Arabidopsis thaliana: one gene and its partners. The protein of the gene in region 1 interacts with the protein of each later gene in a pairwise test. Each region holds a gene or a part of one and is shown in the gene's direction. Other genes may lie near its edges. The genes, in order: ATB' DELTA, AT1G76600, AT1G21010 and RECA3.

Region 1 (6,347 bases):
GAAGCATTGCCGAGTTTTAAAGATGTTCCAAACACGGAAAAGCAAAACTTGTTCATTAAAAAGTTGAACTTGTGCCGTGTAGTGTTTGATTTCACGGATCCTACAAAGAACATCAAGGAAAAAGATATTAAGAGGCAGACATTGCTGGAGCTTGTGGATTATGTGAATTCTCCTAATGGAAAGTTTAGCGAAGTCGGTATCCAAGAAGTCGTTCGGATGGTCTCTGCTAACATATTTAGAACGCTAAATCCTCAACCACGGGAAAATAAAGTTATCGATGCCTTAGACCTGGAGGAGGAAGAACCTTCCATGGATCTTGCGTGGCCTCACTTGCAGCTTGTGTATGAGCTTTTCTTGAGGTTTGTTGCTTCGCCTGAAACTGACACCAAGCTGGCTAAGAGATATATAGATCAATCTTTTGTCTTGCGGTTACTGGATTTATTTGATTCCGAGGATCCTAGAGAAAGAGATTGTCTGAAAACCATTCTCCATCGGATCTATGGTAAATTTATGGTACACCGACCTTTCATCAGGAAATCCATTAACAACATCTTCTATAGGTTTGTTTTCGAAACAGAGAAACATAATGGGATTGCTGAGTTTCTAGAAATCTTGGGAAGTATCATCAATGGATTCGCTCTTCCCTTGAAAGACGAGCACAAAGTGTTTCTTGTTCGAGTTTTGATACCTCTCCACAAACCAAAATGCTTGCAAATGTATCATCAACAATTGTCTTATTGTATCACACAGTTTGTGGAAAAGGATTGCAAACTTGCTGATACGGTTATAAGAGGATTGTTGAAATATTGGCCCGTGACAAACAGTTCCAAAGAAGTCATGTTTCTGAACGAGTTGGAGGAAGTACTCGAAGCAACTCAGCCACCAGAATTTCAACGGTGCATGGTACCACTGTTTCGCCAAATAGCTCGATGTTTGAACAGTCTGCATTTTCAGGTACCTGTCATTCTCCATTCTTTCTGAAATAATAGCACCTCACATTTGTTTTTAAACTGGCGAATTTCCCCGTGCTTTGACATTTCCTGAAAAATGCTCTGTTGCTGTTAGTGTTGGGTTTGACATTTGCAGGCCATATCGTTTCGACATACTTTAACTGCATTAGTGTTTCACCTGTTTATGTTAGCCTATTAGATTGTTATATAAAAAGATCAAATGAAAGAGTTGGGTTTGTGGTAATGAAAGTATCTACGTATAGGACTGTTGTATTGTGTTCTGGATAATATCTGATGCAGTTTCTTAGCTAAATAAGGCTTATGGTTACATACTTTAATTGTGTTAGTGTTTCGCCAGTATATCTGTGTTACCTTACCAGCTTATGAGAAGTCGTTATAGCCTACCAGTTATATCAAACGAGCAAATGGAAGAGTTGATTTTGCGGTATGGAAAGTATCAATGTTTAGGACTGTTATATTCAGCTCTAGGTGTTACTCAAGGCAATTTCTAAGCTAAATTGATATAGTAAGGCTATTGTTAAGTAGAAAGTTACAAAAGAAGAAAAAGTATTGCGTTGAAGGGTATCTGTTTTGGCTAAACAGTGACTGCATACGATCTTTCACGGGAAAAGATCAGTCTAGTAGGTTCAGGATCTTTGTTTCAGTCTATTCATGCTCTGTCTGGTTTTCGCAGGTTGCAGAGAGAGCTTTATTCTTATGGAACAACAATCACATTGAGAATCTGATAATGCAAAACCGTAAAGTCATTCTTCCAATTATATTCCCAGCGTTGGAGAGAAACGCACAGAAACATTGGAACCAAGCTGTTCATAGCTTGACACTAAACGTGCGAAAGATATTTCATGACCTTGACCCTGAGTTATTTAAAGAATGCCTCGCAAAGTTCAAGGAAGATGAATCAAAAGCAGCTGAAACCGAAGCAAAACGTGAAGCCACTTGGAAACGTTTGGAAGAACTCGGAGTGCGAAAGGCTTCATAAAGTTAGAGTTGTAGAGAAGAAAGAGAGAGAAAGAGAGCTTCTGTATCTTCTATTGACATGTTGTTCTTCAGATACATACTTGAGAAGAGAAAAGTTTCATATTGGTCTCTTGGTTTGAAGGAAAAAGGAAACTCAAAGATGTAAGATTGTTCCTGTTTTGATTTCCATTATTTTTATTTCTTGTTTCCTCTTAAATCTTCCTGCTTGTTAAAATGGGTTATTTTTGCTACATTGTATGATCATCACTTGTTCCACTTTCTTGAGACTTGTCTTATTCATTCATCTTCTGCTTTCATGATACCTGCAAATATTGCACTTATAGGATTTGGCCTTTTGTATTTTCAGTTGTATCAGAAAAAAAATCGTATCTTTATAAGCAAAAAAACACCTTTTAAAAAAAGTTTTTTTAAGTTTTCAACAGAAACTCAAAGAGAGAAGACCAAATTGTTGGTTTGAGTATTTTGGGTTTGTGGATTTGGTTACGAACTCCATAAGTCTAGGAGGAACTCTGAAAAGATCTTCATGGAGAGATCGGTTTAGTGGTTGGATTTGAATCTTTTAATGGTTATGACTTCAACTAAAAAAACACTGTCGAGAGATGTTGTTTCTTGTCTTGGTCAGTGAAAATTTTCTCTGGTCTTAGGGTCTTCTCTCAGTCACCATCCTCTCTTTCTATCTCTCTCTCTCTTTACTCTCTAATCTTTATCCATTCTCTCTCTTCTTCTCTATGCCAACGAAGCAATAGCTATGAAAAGCTAAACCCTTTCCTTCTTCTTCTTCTTCTTCTTCTTCTTCGATTGTTTAGATTACTTGGGTTTGACCCAAGTTTGCTTCTTTCTATGATTCATCAATCTAGATCTTGCTATCTGGGTCCAGAAACGATTCACGCGCTTCATTCATGATATAAAGTTACTACCTTTTTTTTATTTTACCTTCTGGGTCATGGTTTTGTCTGCTTTTCGTCTTTTGCTTTTGTCTGGATGATTCATAATCTCTCGAGATCTATTATGTTCACAAGAGTTGTTCTTATGCGTGGTGAGATGATCTTAGGAGTGTTTCACTATCTTTCTTCAATTCGGGTTTTTAGTTTCTGAGATCTGTTTTTGAAGAATCTGATCTGAGTTTGAGGAAGTTTGACTAAATAGATCGAAGAAGATGTTTAAGCAGATACTTGGGAAGCTTCCTAAGAAAACTTCTGCTAAGTTTTGGGATAATGGTGAATCCCAAACTCTAGATAACAACAACAATCAAGGAGGAGGTGATGAAGTTTTAAGCCAGAGAACGTCATCAAATGGAGATACTAGTTTGGATTGTGTTTCTTCTTTTGATGTATTGCCAAGGTTGAGAGATGTTTCCATCTCTGAGAAGCAAGAACTGTTTCTTAAGAAGCTTAGACTATGTTGTCTAGTGTTTGATTTTGTAGCTGAGCCTCAACAGAACTTCAAGGAGAAAGAGATCAAAAGGCAAACACTTCTTGAAGTTGTGGATTATGTTATCTCTTCAGGGAATGGCAAGTTCCCTGAATCAGTTATTCAAGAAGCTACCAAGATGATTTCGGCGAATCTCTTTAGTAATCCTCATCGACAATGGAAGAACAAAACTCCTGAGGCATTGGATTTGGAAGAAGAAGAAGGATCTTTGAATCCTTCTTGGCCTCACTTGCAGATTGTTTATGAGTTCCTTTTGAGAATCGTTGCATCTCCCAACACAGACCCCAAGATATCCAAGAAATACATCGATCATACATTCGTTCTCAAGCTATTGGATTTGTTTGATTCTGAAGATCCGAGGGAAAGAGAGTATCTGAAAACGATACTTCACCGCATCTACGGGAGGTTTATGGTTCATCGCCCGTTCATCAGGAAAACTATGAACAACATCTTGTATGATTTTATATTCGAGACAGGGAAACACTCGGGAATCGCCGAGTTTCTTGAAGTTTTAGGATCCATCATCAATGGATTCGCTTTACCACTCAAGGAAGAACACAAGCTCTTTCTTACTCGTGTCTTGATTCCTCTGCACAAGCTGAAATGCTTACCAAATTACCATCAACAGCTTTCTTACTGCGTTATACAGTTTGTTGAGAAAGATTGTAAGCTCGCGGATACCGTTATTAGAGGGATGTTGAAGTACTGGCCTGTTACTAATAGCGCTAAAGAAATCATGTTCTTGAATGAATTGGAGGAGATACTAGAAGCAACTCAATTAACAGAGTTTGAACGGTGTATGGTTCCGCTCTCTCGCCAAATTGCTCAGTGCTTGAGCAGTTCTCACTTTCAGGTACAGTTAAGAGTTTATTAGGTACATTTACCTGATTCTTAGATTCTTGAATTGTTCATAAAATTCAACTGCTTCTGTGTTTTTAGGTAGCGGAACGGGCTTTATACTTATGGAACAACGATCATGTCACTAATTTAGTGAGACAGAACAGTAGAATCATTTTACCTATAGTGTTTCCCGCTTTGGAGAAAAACGGTAGCAGCCATTGGAATCAGGCTGTGAAGAACTTGACAGAGAATGTTCTCAAGGTTTTGTCCGATACAAATCCTGATTTATTCGAAGAATGTTTGCACAAGTTCCAAGAAGATCAGCAAAAAGCAGAAGATACTAAAAAGAAGAATGGAGAAACCTGGAGACAGCTAGAGGAGATTGTTGCTTCAATGGCGAAGTAAGAGTTTTTTCTGCACTTTACGTGATTCAACAAGAAATCGGTTTATTGTTTTGTTTTGTTTCCTTTACGCCTGAAAGGTATATACATTTACTTTGCTTTGCTTGCTTCATTTAAGTATCTGGTTTCGACTTTAAGACTAGTTTAATTCAGTTAAACAGTGTGAGATTTTACCTTTTTCAGTTCTTGATTTGTCTGTATACTTGGTTCATGTAAACATCTTGTTATGAAAACACGAATTTTCTATTGTCTGAAGTCACTTAGTTTATCAGTGAAAGAGATTGCTCTAATATAAAAATTGTTTCTGGAATAATGATTTCGTCCTTTAGTATACAGAGGATCTGTTGGCATTTTCCTGCAAGTATCTTTGGATTTTGTCTGTTAAAAGGTTCTGTTACAACAGGTTTATTCTTCTAACCAAGAAACCGAAGAAAAGCTCTCTGCGATGACTCTTAGTCGGTTTTTCGTCAGGAGGTTTCACCAGATGAGAGTTGATGTTGTCTCCAGAGATATCATCAAACCATCATCTCCAACTCCAAACCACTTAAAGAAGTTTAAACTCTCTCTTTTAGAACAGCTCGGTCCAACGATCTTTGGTCCTATGGTTTTCTTCTATTCAGCTAACAACAGCATCAAACCAACTGAGCAATTGCAGATGCTGAAGAAGTCGTTATCCGAAACTTTAACTCATTTCTACCCTCTCGCTGGACGGCTCAAAGGCAACATAAGTATCGATTGTAATGACTCAGGCGCTGATTTCCTCGAAGCACGAGTCAATTCACCGCTTTCGAATCTCCTACTAGAGCCTTCTTCTGACAGCTTGCAACAACTGATTCCTACATCTGTTGATTCCATAGAGACACGAACCAGACTGCTTCTTGCTCAAGCGAGTTTCTTTGAATGTGGAAGCATGTCTATAGGAGTTTGTATCTCTCATAAACTCGCTGACGCAACTTCTATCGGTTTATTCATGAAGAGCTGGGCTGCAATCTCGTCCCGAGGGTCGATCAAAACCATTGGAGCTCCGGTTTTCGACACGGTTAAGATCTTCCCACCTGGAAACTTCTCTGAGACTTCCCCTGCACCAGTGGTTGAGCCAGAGATCATGATGAATCAGACTCTTTCGAAGAGATTCATATTCGATTCTTCGAGTATTCAAGCTCTGCAAGCGAAAGCTTCAAGCTTTGAAGTGAATCAACCAACAAGAGTCGAAGCTGTTTCAGCTCTTATATGGAAATCTGCAATGAAAGCTACAAGAACAGTTTCAGGAACATCGAAACCGTCAATTCTGGCAAACTCCGTGAGTCTACGCTCACGAGTCTCTCCACCATTTACAAAGAACTCAATAGGGAATCTAGTGAGCTACTTTGCAGCAAAAGCAGAGGAAGGAATAAACCAAACAAAGCTTCAAACTTTGGTTTCGAAAATACGAAAAGCGAAACAGAGGTTTCGAGATATCCATATACCAAAGCTTGTAGGAAACCCAAATGCCACAGAGATCATTTGTAGCTACCAGAAAGAAGCAGGAGATATGATTGCAAGTGGAGATTTCGATTTCTACATATTCTCAAGTGCTTGTCGATTCGGTTTATACGAAACCGATTTCGGTTGGGGAAAACCGGTTTGGGTCGGGTTTCCTTCGGTTAGACAGAAGAACATCGTGACGCTTCTCGACACGAAAGAAGCTGGTGGAATTGAAGCTTGGGTGAATCTGAATGAACAAGAG
Region 2 (4,714 bases), on another chromosome or scaffold:
GTATTAACGGCTGAACACGTGAACGCTTCTTTCTTTTTGCATGGCCTGCGAAACCTTTTTCGACTTTACTCGGTTCGATGGTAATAACTAAATGCGTACGGTGTTCCCTAGCATTCAGCTTCGGACTTTATTAACATAATTCAATTGGATATTATCCTGTATATAGTTTAAGTTTTTGAATAGTTTATCAATTCCCATTATATTATAGTGATGGAAATATAATACTAAGATGCAATGATAAAGTTACTTAATCAATTAAAATGTATTCTTTTTTTAGCGAATTATTGAGAAGCATATTTTAAATACAAATGTCAAAAGTACATAATTAATCTAATCCAAACACATGTTTATAGTTGCACATTAAGTAATGTTATGACAGCGAAGTGACAGAAAACCTATGATTACATAATCATTTATGTTAAATAGACTTACTAAAATAATCATCGGCTTTATTAACTAAATACACTACTCCGCAATGGGGAAAGATTTTTCTTTTTTGAAAAAGGGGTTTCAGCAATGGGGAAACTTTTGAAGTTTAATACATAAAGTTCATTTTCCACTAAAAAGTCCTTTCTATTTCATATATACATATACAAGGCAGCATGAGTAAGGTGATATTTTTTAATAAGAACTACATTGGTAAAGTAGAATAGTAGATTGCAGTTGAGTTGTTTCCTGTGAATTGGATAATTAATATTAGAATCATAAGTATATATACGTCCTAACTACTTACATGCATGATACTGTCTAATTGGTATTCGAATTTTAAATTTGTCTCATATATATATTTTATAATAAGGTGAAATCTATTGAACAAAAAATGTTACCGGTAAGTGAAAATAAGATAAAGGCTTATGGAAATATCTTCCAGATTTACAAGGAAAAAAATAAGTGAAATTAAAGCATTTTTACAGTTTTACAAGTTGTAATGTTCATCAATCATCACTATGACACTATCCATGAAATGTGAAAGATGTTCCATAAGATCGATTGTTATATAAATTCGACTCAACTCAAAAACAGAACCTAACTTTACTCAAAAATACTAGTATTTTGTATATTTAAATATCATTACGACTGTACTAGGAAACACACAACCTTGAAAATAGCATTTCGTTATACATAAAAGTCATTGATTTGATCATTTGCGTTTCTTTGTACCACTAGCTTTATCAAATAGTATTTGCATGATGATAGTCAAATACAAGTTGCTGTGGTCTTTCACATTTTTAAAAAGGAGAGAAAAAAGGTAGCTGCGGTTTCCTTATTCCCCACGCTTATTTATTTATTGTCTTTGTTTGGTCTCCTTATCGCTAATTTTGAGTCACGTGTTACGGCTGAGAGCTTCGAAGCCCACGTCATTGCTGACATATCTTCATTCGTACGGATCATGTAATCTGTTAAATTTCCCAAAACGTTTGCTACCTAAACCCGTGAATTATTTGGAAGTCAAACTTCCTCTTTAATTTCGGAAATATTTACAAATTCAGGTCAATCTAATGTATTTCATACAACGAGTGTAAATGTATTATTTTGACAAATTTGCGTATCTTCTAGTTGGGTTGACAATTTAATATACTTTTAGGTCAATTTTGCATAGTAGAGATATGGATAAGAAAGTCTATCTATATACACACGCACATCTACGTATTATAACAACTGTACATCACATTCACACTATATACAGAACATTCATCTAAAACAACCGTATTTATTGTATCCACACGTTTTACTATGGGTGTGTGGTCCTTTTAATTATCAGTTACTATAAATTATAAACAAAATTCCACTAGCTAATCAATATGAAATTACATTTGAGTTTAGAATAGTCAATAGGAAACGATTTAACCAAAATAAAATAACTAATTCAATTTAAATCACTGTTTTTTTTTGTATCCATCAACAATCATATGAACCATTTGACTACATTCTCTGGTCAATTTGAATTGGTATTTACTACTACTAATAGATACTCTTATACCAATTTAGATAAATAAACTTAATCCTGAGTACGGACTAAAGGACAATTTGTACAGTGAGTTAAAAATAGAAAATTTACCTAACAATACTTTTTAAATCAGTCAAACATTTTTTGACTTTAATAAGAAATAATATTTAATATTGGCCTTGTAAAACAAGACTACTCTCACAACAGTCAACACACACAGCTAAGCATACGCGTCAGCTTCCGGTTTAAACAAAAAAAAACACAAACCGTAATTTGGTTTCCGTTTCTTCCTCTTGTAACGACCGGTTAAATAAAATGCTGACGTCACCATCTTCTTCTATATATATCCTACCTGGAACCAACTCTGTATATACGCGTCCTCCTCTCTCTTCTTCCTCTTGCTATCAATAAATCTCTCTTTCTCTCTACAAACAAAATAACGAGAACTTCAAAAATCAAATGGGTCTTTGTGTATCTGTTAATCGAAACGAGTACGTTTCTTCGTCGACGACGGCTAAAATCGTAACAATTAACGGCGATCTCCGTGAATACGATGTACCGGTGTTAGCATCTCAGGTTCTGGAATCTGAATCGACGTCTTCTTCTTCATCATCATCATCTTCTTCTTATTTTCTATGTAATTCCGATTCTCTCTACTACGACGATTTTATCCCAGCGATTGAATCTGATGAGATTCTTCAAGCGAATCAGATCTATTTCGTCCTTCCCATCTCTAAACGACAATACCGTCTCTCTGCCTCGGATATGGCGGCTCTCGCTGTAAAAGCCAGCGTCGCGATTGAGAAAGCAGCGGGGAAGAAAAATCGCCGTCGTAGAAGCGGAAGAATCTCTCCGGTTGTGACGTTGAATCAGGCTAACGATAATCGGATCGCCGCCGTGAACAACAGAATTGGAGGCGAAGCAACGAATATGATGATGCAAAAAGGAAAGTTACCGAATAGAACGACGCCGTTTAAAGATACAAACGGTTATTCTCGGTCTGGTTCGGTTAGGAAATTGAAAAGATATACGTCTGGTCGAGCTAAATTGGCGGTTCGATCGTTTAGACTGAGACTCTCTACTATATACGAAGGCTCTTCGTTTAATTAGAGCGATTATAAAACTAAGATTACATTCTTTTTGTTTTTGTTGTTATCGTTACGAAAAATGTTTGTGTAATGCTGTTTCAATATGATCTGTAAATTACAGCTTTCACTTTGCTTGTATATTTTCCCATTTTGTTATGTCATGTGTACTTATATTTTATAAGATAGCTTCAAAAATCAAATTTCAGTCACACTGTTGCGTAGTTTCATGAGATTCTATCATACACGTACTTTCTTATGATATATTATTAAATTTTGTTGAAACGATAAGATGAAATTGATCCTTGTAAGTCATGAGTCACCAGTTTGATCGATCCGATGATTGAGTTTATAACATTATTTTTATGTGGATCAGTCTAAGCTCCACTTTAGGAAACATGGTTTTAGACAAATGAAAGTAACAAATAAAAAATATTTCATGAGGAGTCAAGGAGATAATCCTTGTAAATTTCCACAAATGGAACTAAATTGTTAGGGAAAGCTAAAAATAAAAATGACTTGGAGAAAAAGTTTCGAATTTCCATTGTAAAGAGTTTATTTAATGGGTGTGGTGGGATCGGAAAGGAGACCAGTGGAAGCTTTGGCTTCACGGCCAATGGGATTTAACGTTCTAAGTCTATTTTAATCAATTTAAGCTTCAGTCTTTAGACTTTTGATGTAAGATATTTGCAATGTATTAAACTATTAACAAAAGCTTTTTTATAAAAAAATCTCGATATCATTATCCACATCCTGGTTAGTTCATTGTTCAATCAATTAGTTACAATGATACTATTCAGTGCTACTAAAAGAAGTTTGAGTCCAAATGTTAGAATTTAGATCAAAACATGACGTACAAATATAATCTAAAACATATAAATTGTTTGACAAAAATATTTAGTTGTACGTGTTCAAACCAACACATGATACATGTTGATATTTAGTTATTCACTTGTTCTATACACTTTTGTTAGCATAAAGAATAAAATCATTTAATTTAGTTCTTTTTTTGTCAAAAGAATTTAATTTAGATATTACAAATCTTAAAAATTAAAATCAAAACTAATCCACTAATCTTTGATCATACATTGTCCCTCCTCATAAATTAAAGTAAATTAAACCCAAAAAAAAAACGAGATACAAATTCCTGAAAATATTTGGCTCGCACTAGCAAAGTAATCTGCAACGAAAATTCATCTTCTTTTCCTTTGAGGCGCATTGATCTCAATCTCATGACACATCCAAAATAGGGCTATTGAAAAGTCTCGTGGTATATTTTGTCATATTAGTTTTTTTTTTTTTATGGAATTTGTGTGAACCCTTAAGATTCGAAATGGGGCTGCTAGTCCTCCGTGTGACCGGAAAGTCTCCGACAATGACTGGCTGTTTCTGGCGGCGACAACAATAACTAATTTTTCTTCTGATTTCTCGTAAATAATTATGTCACCAACTTATGTACAAGACTCCAAATGAAAATATACTCAAATTTTCCCGATTTGGTCTATATCCCCGAAAATTACAAGTCTACACACGATCGGACCGTTGAATTTGGCCTTACGGGAGGCAACCATTATTATTGCAATTCTTTATTTTTTTAAGTTTTTGATATTTTTGTAACCTTATCGCCTTATTTGACCCCTTTGTATAAAACAAAATATTTTAGAAAAATGTCAACTGTCAA
Region 3 (4,455 bases), on another chromosome or scaffold:
ACTTGATATGTGGTTTGAAATAATATTGTAGCGCGTTATATACCAAAAAATGAAAGAATATGGTAGCGTAGGTCGTAGGGTGTGTGTTATATTGTTTGTTTGACCGTATAATATAAAAGTTCAACTCGAATGTACGAAGTTTGGTATGGACAACGAATTACTCGGTCGTCACGTCTAGAAAATGAAATATGTCAAATATCAAATGTTGCAAAAATATATGAGCAAATGTTCAATTTAAATCACGACTATGAATTTATAGCTAGCTCGGGATACTAAATAAAGTCAACGTGTGAACATGTGAAGCCGGTTTGTCATATGCATGTCATGCGACCCGTTCGAGTTTACTCGGCCCGGTGGAAAGAGAACATAATTTTTCTTCTTCTTTAATTTTCAGAAAAAAAAAATATATTTCTTCCGTATTATATTGTTTACTAGTTTAGATTATAATTTTTAGTAATTTCTTAATTTGCTCTAATATAATTCCCCTATTTCCTTTCATTTAGTGAGTTGTTTCTAAAGGTCCAACCCAAATTAATAAATTAAACTGCCGCCAAAAAGTTGAAAAGCTAGTAAGTTAATAAACAATAACAGTAGTACATTATATAGTTTATGCTCTCTGATTGTATTAACACTATTTAGGCTGTTAATGATAATCAAAACCGCACCCAAAACCGTACTGCAACAGTGTTGTAACAATATTAAAATCTCTACATATTCATATGTATCTATGTATTTTTGTTACTATTTGAACCGAACCGCACTTCTCCTGCATCGCAAAATACAATTACCATTCGGAGCCTTAGTTGATAAACTGCATGAAACTAGTAAAATTATGATATTTCTTCAATAATAAAATCTGCATGGGTAAATTAAAATACCGTTTAGTTCAATTGTACGTTATAGTCAAATACAAGTTGCGATATTTAGAGTTTAACAGGCCACTTGTTATGTGTTTTGACTACTGGGAGCCGCGTGGTGCGTGCCACGTCGTTGCTGATTTCGCTTTCACATTGCTGATCTTTTTCTCTCTTTATTTCCGATGTTTTGCTAACATACACGCTTGATTACAATTTCATCAAACAAACTCCCTAATGATTTTTAAAATTATTTCATTTTACCTTTTAGTATCCAAATACCATAAATTTGGAATGTGATGTTGTTGATGTCTCCTTCCTTTGCTTTGTAGCTGAGGCCCGTGCCTTCATGCGTTCCAAGCCTTACAAAGTACATATATATGTTTACAAAGACTCTATCATACAATTGGGGTGGTAGTGACTAGTGAGCAACAATTTATGTCATATGGATTGAGAGAAATCCTCGTTTGCACCGCAATTATGTAATGAACGATCAAATTTGGATTTGGATATTTTGCATATATTTATAGTTTATCGGCTTCAAACTTTATTAAAATAAGAAAACATAAAGCATGCTATAAAATAAATGAAGAGATGCACTAAATCACAATTACATGCTTCCATAACTCTAGCATCTTTATTTGTATAGTTTTCTTTTTAATGTGTTATAAACTGTGAGAAATGGATCTTCAGATTTTTTAAAATAACTATCCATATATCAAATATGGATTTAATCTGGAGCACAAGAGAATATTGTGAAATTCGAAACTAATCACGTTTGATAGATTATAGTCTTTGTATATGGATTTAATCTGGAGCACAAGAGAATATTGTGAAATTCGAAACTAATCACGTTTGATAGACTATAGTCTTTTTCGATAAAGGTCATTAATTTTGATAGATTACAGTGAGTTATAGTGAAATTGACATGCATGATCACATAGTACTTAACGTATAAATATGGTTCTTTAGAGATATATCCAATTAAATTTGAATGATACAGAGTAACCATAATTAAGAGCAATATTCATTCAAAGAAAATAAAATATCGATACGCATACACACTCATACATGTACATGACCACAACTTATATAATTAATTTTTCTAAATATATTTAGAATCTGTATAAGCGTGTGAATATAATTGCCTTGATTGAAAACTTTCTTTTGATATATGAAAAAAATCCTTCGAAATAGAAAGTTAAAAATCAGAAAGATCTTTAGAATATGTAAATACAATGAAAGATTAAAAAATACATAACACTATATAGTAACAAATAACCCAACAAGATAAATAAATAATTCGGAGTAATTAGGTCATGAAAACGAAATGTAATTAGAAGGTTTAACTAAGGAAACATTATATATGTCCTTTTACTATGCGTGACAAAAATCTACTAATGGACAGACAACAAACAAAAACTACATGTTAACAACCGGTTCAAAACATTAAACCGTAACCGGTTATCTAATTTCAATTTAATCACCCGGTTTTATCACCCGTCTTCTATATATAACCCCACCATGACCGACTCTCTCGACGCGTCGTATCAACATTCGTGAATCTTCTCCACTCCCTCTCTCTCTCTCTCTAGATTTCAAATTTGTTATCTCAATCAAAAATGGGAATCTGTGTGTCGTTTCGTCGGGAAGATTCAAATTCTTCACCGACGGTGAAGATCGTGACGGTTAACGGCGATCTCCGTGAATACAATGTTCCGGTGATAGCATCTCAAGTTTTGGAAGCTGAATCAGCGGCAGCTTATTCATCTTCGTCTTCCTCTAGACCTTCTTCATATTTCATCTGCGATTCAGATTCTCTCTACTACGACGATTTCATACCGGCGATCAAATCGGAAGAGCCGCTTCAGGCGGACCAGATCTACTTCGTTCTCCCGATTTCTAAACGTCAGAGTCGTTTAACGGCGTCGGATATGGCGGCTCTCGCCGTTAAAGCAAGCGTCGCGATACAAAACTCTGTTAAGAAAGAATCTCGTCGGCGTAAGAAGGTGAGAATCTCTCCGGTTATGATGTTGACGGGGTCTAACGATTCCGTTAACGGAAATGGAAGTGAAACGACAGTTAAAAAGGGACGGCCGTTTGTGAGTAAAACTGCGCCGGTTAAAGCTTCGAGTGGGATAAACCGGTCCGGTTCGGTTCGTAATTTGAGAAGATACACTTCTAAACGAGCTAAGCTGGCGGTTCGATCTTTCAGGCTAAAACTTTCAACCATCTACGAAGGCTCCGTCGTTTAGATCGTTATTTTTTTTTTCTTAAGTTGCTTTCAATTTTGAGGAACAAATAAAATTAGCAAAATGAAAATGAAACAATATAATTAGAAGAAGCATAATTATTATTTTTTTGTTTTGTTATAAACTGATGAAATAGTTTTCATGAAGAAAACATTGTATATTTTTTCTTTGATTGTGTATTTGGGTCACGTACCATAGACTAGTGATCGTATATGTTTACCAACAAACTTATATATGAATGATGATGTTTCTCAATTTAACCATCCTAAGTTTCCAACCATATATACACTACAAGATTTGATGATATAAATCGTGAATGTGCTTATCTTTTTTGTTGTCTTTGATTATATAATGTAAAAAAGTTACGTGAAAAAGTATAGTTCGATGCTAAATTCATGAAACTGAACAACTATTTGATTTGAACGGTTCAATGTTAAAACTTAAGGTGGAAAATGTAATAAACAAAAATCTTGGCTTCACTTCACAACCAAGGAATTTTCACTAAAACAAAAATCTTGGCTTCAGTCTAATTATAATAATCTGGATATTATATTCTATTATAAATATAAAGATTCTCTTAAGGTTTTATATTATTGATTATAATATTTTTAAGAACCCAAAAAAAAAACCTTTTAAACTTTTTGTTACTTATACTTATTATTGTCGAAAAAGCTAGAAAATCAATGATACTTGCTTTCGTTGATTCAATTTGATGTGTCGATGATGTGTTGATTACCAATGATCAAATCTTTATAAGGCATGTTGTTGATTATATAAAAATAATAATGTCAATTAGATGTTGAATAAGTCATCTTAGTTTTGCTTAGTCCTCGATCTTTTACTAGCATAGAATTATTTATGGCATTACAAATGTAGTTTCAGCATACTGTATGTTGAGTTGTGCACTTGTGCTTTCGTGTTTAATGAATATAGTGATTAAATAGTATGTGACCATGCAATATAAACTAAAAGCAATAAATATCTGATGTAATCAAGAGAATTCTATAGATAAAGTATATTCAACTGAGAGAGGTGGTGTGAATAGTATATAGATTCCACTAGGCACTATGAAACCACAGTTTTATAAAAAAAGAGGCCGTATTGGTATCATATGATGATATGAACATTGTGGGTGCTTATTTGGTAATTGGTGTGAACGTTAAGATATCAATGTTCTTTCTTTTCGCTTCTAAAATAGCAAATCCTCCGACATGACTTGCAAATTTCCGACAATGACAGGTTATATGTAGGCGAGGTGTACTTAACTATATCAATTCTTTTATAACAATGTTAATACATATACTAAAATAAAAATATACAACTAAATTAATTTCTCAGTAATTATTACC
Region 4 (5,899 bases), 6.4 Mb from region 1:
GAATAACACAGAGCTAAAGAAGATTAAGCTAAAAACTAACCAGACATGAAAGCTTCTTCAAGATTAGTAGAGCTATCAAATCTCTTGGGAAACACATATTTCGCAGTCTCCATCGCCAAATCAGCCAAAACTACAATTAAATTGACAATGAAAATTCAGCAGATACAAAAACCAAAACAAAATCCGGCAAGAGAAAAGACGGAACATTTACGGCGTTGAGAGACAGAGGAAGCTTGAGAGGCGAGAGCAAGGACGAGAGAAACCCTAGATTCAGTGGCGGACACGGCTGGACTCTGCGGCTGCCGCCGGATAGCTCTGTTCACGCTCGCCGTTCTGAAGCCGGAGTAAGTAATTGGGCATCTCTGGATAGGGTTTATGAGGGGCAATTTCTCAGGAGATGAAGACAGAAGAGAAAGGGATGATGTAATGGAGGAGGAGCTGATCATCATCATTTCTCTTCGCAATCTTTGTTCTGTTTTCGTTCTCTCTTTGTTCTGTTTTCGTTCTAATTATTAACGACCGCTCGATTTTGGTTCTCTCATACCATACCGGTAGATTTTTCTCATACCAAATCGATTTTTAATTATCTCCCTTTGGAATTTCACTTATTTATTTTTTTAAGTCCACAAAGGCCCCTGAGACTGTGGAGCGGGAAGATGACGAACATCCACTCACTCTTCTCTACAACACACCGGTGCAAAGTTCATATGTGATGTTTGTGAAGAAGATATGTCGGAAAAACTTTGGGTTTATTACTGCAAAGAGTGTGATTATGTAACTAGCTAGGCTTTCGATACATTTAAAACGTAATGTCGACCCAGTGAAGCATCCATCAAAAAAGCAAGGAGAAGTGCAATTTCGCCGTTGCATGCATATACACTCCACATTGTTAGAAACACCTACATTATGCTCGGAGACGCAGGAACAATCAATATTTAGGGATTTCTATATCTTTTCAGTCTTTATTTAGTACTTTTTATAAAGCGAAGAAGAAGCTCCCATTTATTTTTCGTAAACGCTTTGGACTAGGGTTAACGACGTTTTCCTCGTAAGATTGAACACAATATTCGGGATACGACTAAATAATGTAACAGTTTTTAATTAAAAAAATATTATTATCTCACATTAATGAAGTTGAATGGATCCTATTGGACATTACCGCTTAGCCTTGTTGTTTCCTCTTTTCGTTTTTATCTCCCAAATAGCAGTTTGTGTGTTAGTCTCTACGGCATTATGAAGGAGGAGCACAACTTTACAAGGGTCGAGAACTTGTCAATAGCACAAGACTCCACCTAGCTTTCATATCTTCTTACTCTTACGTACCAGACGTTTCGGGCCATCTAATTAATCATATGATATTCCGCAAATAAAAACAAACTAATACATTAAAATGATGATAATTAACACCAAAACCAATCGCCAAAAAATTTAAGAAAATAGCACCAACAACTTCATAATTCTTCTTCGTCATGAATCTCGTGGTCGAACTTTTTAGGTCTGTAAAGAGTACGCGGTCTCCTCCATATACCTACAAAATAAAGTAATTATAAAAAGCTTACAAGTTTAAAGATGTGCCAACAAATCAATGAACTTACTACTGTGATAATCTGGAGTATTACCTATTTCCATCACTCTATCATCACATTTTGATTTTGGTATGCAAGCAGGATCCACACCGCTTCGCTGGTTATCACCAGTTAGTGTACGTAAGTCAAACGTAATGAAGCGTCTGCTTTGGAAAACCTCGGAATTATGTGTTGGATATGTTTTCATGCTTAGGATACGATTCAATATTAATGAAGCGTCCACCAAAAGCAAGAGAACCAACAATTTCATTATTGAATTTGCACTCCACATTCTTAGACCTTTAGGTTATGCTCCACGCATGAACAATCTTAATTTAGGGATTTATCTTCTCAGATTTATTATTATATAGAAAAATAAAATCTTATTTGAGCAAAATGTTCGGGATAAGACTAAAGTTACACACAAAAAAAAAAAAAAAAAAAAAAAAAAAAAGACTAAAGTTACACCTCCCTTAAATTGTTACCTCTTTTCCGGTCCTCATATCAAACCGTTAAATTAGATTCCATTAGCCATGAACCGATCGGTTTAATACGGTTTTCGATTTTTATGTATCCACTTCTGGTTCAGGTCTTACCTCTTAAGGACAATGACCATGGCGGAAACTGGAGATCGTTAGTAGAAAAGGAGAAGACACAACTGTGGAATTGAAACTGAACAGCGAAGGAGGAGCCGCTTGAAGAAGAACGGGGCATGGGTCGACTCTCATGGGCCAGTCCGATTCAGAGATTCCGTTTCTTCTCTTACTTATCTCAGGTTCTCTTCGTCTCTAATGTTTCTCAACAATTCTTAGCTTGAGTATAAGAAAGAAAGATTTTATTTTTCAGATGAAGAAATTAGGACAACACTCCAACCAAAATAAAGTTATCTCCTTTAGAGTAGCATTGATGATTTGCCCAAGCTCCTGACTAAACAAATGTCTCTTGTGTTTACTCTTATCTTGCTTTGTAGCTGAATGGAAGAAGAAGCGTTTTGGCTTGCTCTGGCTATGAAAATCGTTATCTTTCGTCTTTAGGTAATCACTAATTTCCTTTGTCTTTTGATTTCCATACTCTGTATCCTGTCTTTATGAGTGTGTTTCGTTTGGTCAGTTGAAGCTTCAGATTGTGAACTTGATGAAGTTCCAGATGATAGAAAAGTAGCGGAGAAAGACACTGCTCTACATTTAGCATTGTCACAGCTTTCAGGTGATTTTGATAAAGACTCTAAGTTGTCATTGCAGCGGTTTTACAGAAAAAGGAGAGTTTCTGTGATATCCACGGGTTCCCTCAACCTTGATCTAGCTCTTGGAGTTGGAGGATTGCCAAAGGTTGTTGTTAATTTAGAGTCTCAGATAGGACTAGCCAAGCTAAAGGTATTGCAATTAATGAGGTCTCTAAATGTGTGTTTACAAGAGAACTTTGTTGGTTTTTGTGTAGGGAAGAATGGTTGAGGTTTACGGAAAAGAAGCATCTGGAAAGACAACTCTAGCTCTGCATATCATCAAGGAAGCTCAAAAGCTTGGAGGTACTGTTCTTGAATCCCATTCTCAATACATTTGTTTGAACAGAAACCTTGGGACTTGTTACTAGAATCCATCCTAAGTTGGGGACACATATCTTCTACTTTTTCCTTTCTTGTTTCTAGTGCGATAAGTAAGATTCGATTTTGTGAAGTTACAGTTTGATTCTGACTTGCTTTTGTTCTTCACTCCATTAGCTTTTTATTTATCTAAAAGACTTGTTTGTGCCAGGTTATTGCGCTTATCTTGATGCAGAGAATGCCATGGATCCTTCTCTAGCAGAATCAATAGGTGTGAACACAGAAGAGCTTCTGATATCACGACCTAGTTCTGCTGAAAAGATGCTAAATATTGTTGATGTGCTGACCAAGAGTGGGTCAGTAGACGTAATTGTGGTAGACAGTGTGAGTTCTCATTCTTTCATCTCAATATGTTCATATATTCTTTCTGCATCTGTTAATATTAAAAGTGGAATCTACAGGTTGCTGCTCTTGCCCCTCAATGTGAACTTGATGCTCCTGTAGGAGAAAGATACAGAGACACACAATCAAGAATAATGACACAGGCGCTCAGAAAAATCCATTACTCAGTTGGCTATTCTCAGACACTGATCGTTTTTCTTAATCAGGTAAAGGAAATATCACGGTTTACTTTCTTTTGCTCACTTAGTTGGATCGTATTGACCCACCTACCAAAGATAATATCTCTCTGCTTATTTACCTGATCCAGGTCAGATCACATGTGAAATCTAACATGCATTTCCCGCACGCCGAAGAAGTGACTTGTGGAGGAAACGCATTACCGTTTCATGCAGCTATACGTCTCAAAATGATAAGAACCGGGCTAATAAAGACTGCCAATAAGGTATAGTTAGGCACATTGTTACCATTGTACGTGTTACTGTAAGCTTGATTTGCCTTAATCTCTAAAATAATGCATAATTTCTGCGAAGGGCAGTAACATCTTTATTATCATTTGATTGCTTTGTTTCCTCAGATAAGTGGTCTCAATGTCTGCGTCCAAGTGGTGAAGAATAAACTGGCGCCCGGAAAGAAGAAATCTGAATTGGGGATTCACTTTGGTCATGGTTTCTACGTGGAGCGAGAGGTATTAGAATTGGCTTGTGAGCATGGAGTTATCTTAAGAGAAGGAACTAGCTATTTCATTGAAGGCGAGGTCATTGAAGGGAAAGACGCAGCTGAGAAGTATCTGGTGGAAAATAAAGAGGCTCTCGATACTGTCGTTGCAATCCTGAGGAACCAGCTCTTCAAGATGTGACAGAGGGAATGTATTTCGAGTTCTCCAAACAAATGTGTATGTTTCGATAAAGCCAAAAACCAATTGAGCTTTTCATCAACCCTGACGTCCCTATTAAACAACGTGGAAGGGACAGAAGCAGTTAGGGAATGCTAACTAAAAGGAGGATCAGAGAAGATGTGCAAAAGCTGGTTGTCATTAGATGATATCATCATAGTCATTGTTCTTGTTAGAGATTCTCCATCATGTATACTGCAGAGATTCCGGTTTCCTTAATGGGTTTGAACCGTTTTATCAAGCATTCTTTCCTTTTGTCTTGAACCAATCATCAGTTCATTTATTGGCTTATGGAAAGCAGTTTTTCTTGTCACTTAACAAGTTTACAGTGACCAAACCTACCAACAACTATAGGCACTATTACTTCTACAAAGTTTGACATATGTGATAAATAGACTAATCATATGTTAGGTTAACTTCACTGTGGACAGATCCATCTTCCATCCTAATCCAGGTCTTAATACGAAAGGGCATTTCAGAAATCTCCAAAATCCTTGATCCCCTTGGCCAATTTCCATATCCACCATAACCTGTGTGTCTCGCAAAGCAAAGCCAGAGTTTATCTTTGTACGGACAGCACCAGTCTAGTCCATGGTTGTGTCCTACAAACACTGCCTACTTACACAAAAATATAGTTCATTAAAGTTATATCAAACCAGTATCTAAGTGTTAAGCAATTTCGTGTTTAATAATTAGTACCTTAACGGAGGATCTGTTCTCAAGAACTCTCATCATCCCATTTTCAGCTTCTTGAGCAACAACTTTCTCTTTGTTGATTGATCCAACGCAAGGTTTTGTTATCCATAACCTTGGAGCTACTTTCTTGTATGCTTTACTAGGTATGTGCCAAAATATCAACTCCGGGATCCTGCCCGAAATATACATCTTTCGATATCGACTTAGCGAATGATCGAGTTTTTCCCACCAAAAAAGCTTTAATGTTTTGGTTCATACCTTAAATAGGGATTAAGAGTATTAGACTTGGTTTTAAACCATTCCACTTGAGCATTTGAGATAACCTCCGGGTATGAACCACCGCCCGAATCAAGAAAATATAGCAATGCCACGGGTGGTTTCGAATGATCCGATGATTCCACAAGAAGGACATAGTTAGATACGCTTGGCCATAGCTCCTTAGGACTAATCATGGAGTATGAGAGTGCATTGGATGACTTTATTTCTTCCTGAATCAGTTCCACTCGCGTAGTTCCTCTGAACGTGCATCCATCATCATCTGATGCTGCAGGGCAACGAAGGGGAGGAATACCGGAGGAAGACAACCAATCCAAAGGCCAAACAAAAGAAGCATCGTCATGGTTACCAAAGAGAGTAGCCCATGGAATGCCTCTGTCTCTTGTAGGAGAGATTGCTTTGTCCCAAAACAAGCTTGCGTTTTGGATTGCTATGTTGTTAGCCGTCACAACATCTCCCAAATAGACCACAAAATCTGTTCATATCTCCAAAAAAAACGGTTATTTCAGTTAAAGCTAATCTCACAAC

Evidence for each region.
Region 2: the proteins of ATB' DELTA (region 1) and AT1G76600 interact in a two-hybrid assay, tested with the Arabidopsis thaliana proteins (one large-scale study listed by BioGRID).
Region 3: the proteins of ATB' DELTA (region 1) and AT1G21010 interact in a two-hybrid assay, tested with the Arabidopsis thaliana proteins (one large-scale study listed by BioGRID).
Region 4: the proteins of ATB' DELTA (region 1) and RECA3 interact in a two-hybrid assay, tested with the Arabidopsis thaliana proteins (one large-scale study listed by BioGRID).

The regions. Positions count from the first base shown.
Region 1 is NC_003074.8:9,514,636-9,520,982, forward strand, and holds ATB' DELTA (serine/threonine protein phosphatase 2A 55 kDa regulatory subunit B prime delta), read left to right. Parts: upstream 1-2,317; 5' UTR 2,318-3,105; coding exon 3,106-4,233; intron 4,234-4,319; coding exon 4,320-4,625; 3' UTR 4,626-4,928; downstream 4,929-6,347. Other genes in the region: AT3G26020 (Protein phosphatase 2A regulatory B subunit family protein), read left to right, coding at 1-663, 751-954, 1,087-1,119, 1,331-1,441, 1,645-1,950; AT3G26040 (HXXXD-type acyl-transferase family protein), read left to right, coding at 5,106-6,347. UniProt on the Arabidopsis thaliana protein: The B regulatory subunit may modulate substrate selectivity and catalytic activity, and may also direct the localization of the catalytic enzyme to a particular subcellular compartment.
Region 2 is NC_003070.9:28,744,568-28,749,281, forward strand, and holds AT1G76600 (poly polymerase), read left to right. Parts: upstream 1-2,265; 5' UTR 2,266-2,407; coding exon 2,408-3,058; 3' UTR 3,059-3,281; downstream 3,282-4,714.
Region 3 is NC_003070.9:7,343,763-7,348,217, forward strand, and holds AT1G21010 (poly polymerase), read left to right. Parts: upstream 1-2,393; 5' UTR 2,394-2,476; coding exon 2,477-3,109; 3' UTR 3,110-3,521; downstream 3,522-4,455.
Region 4 is NC_003074.8:3,132,707-3,138,605, forward strand, and holds RECA3 (RECA homolog 3), read left to right. Parts: upstream 1-2,166; 5' UTR 2,167-2,277; coding exon 2,278-2,340; intron 2,341-2,535; coding exon 2,536-2,599; intron 2,600-2,675; coding exon 2,676-2,893; intron 2,894-3,002; coding exon 3,003-3,090; intron 3,091-3,316; coding exon 3,317-3,489; intron 3,490-3,566; coding exon 3,567-3,713; intron 3,714-3,814; coding exon 3,815-3,949; intron 3,950-4,081; coding exon 4,082-4,363; 3' UTR 4,364-4,711; downstream 4,712-5,899. Other genes in the region: AT3G10130 (SOUL heme-binding family protein), read right to left, coding at 41-130, 212-452; PAP16 (purple acid phosphatase 16), read right to left, coding at 4,796-5,014, 5,099-5,267, 5,354-5,846.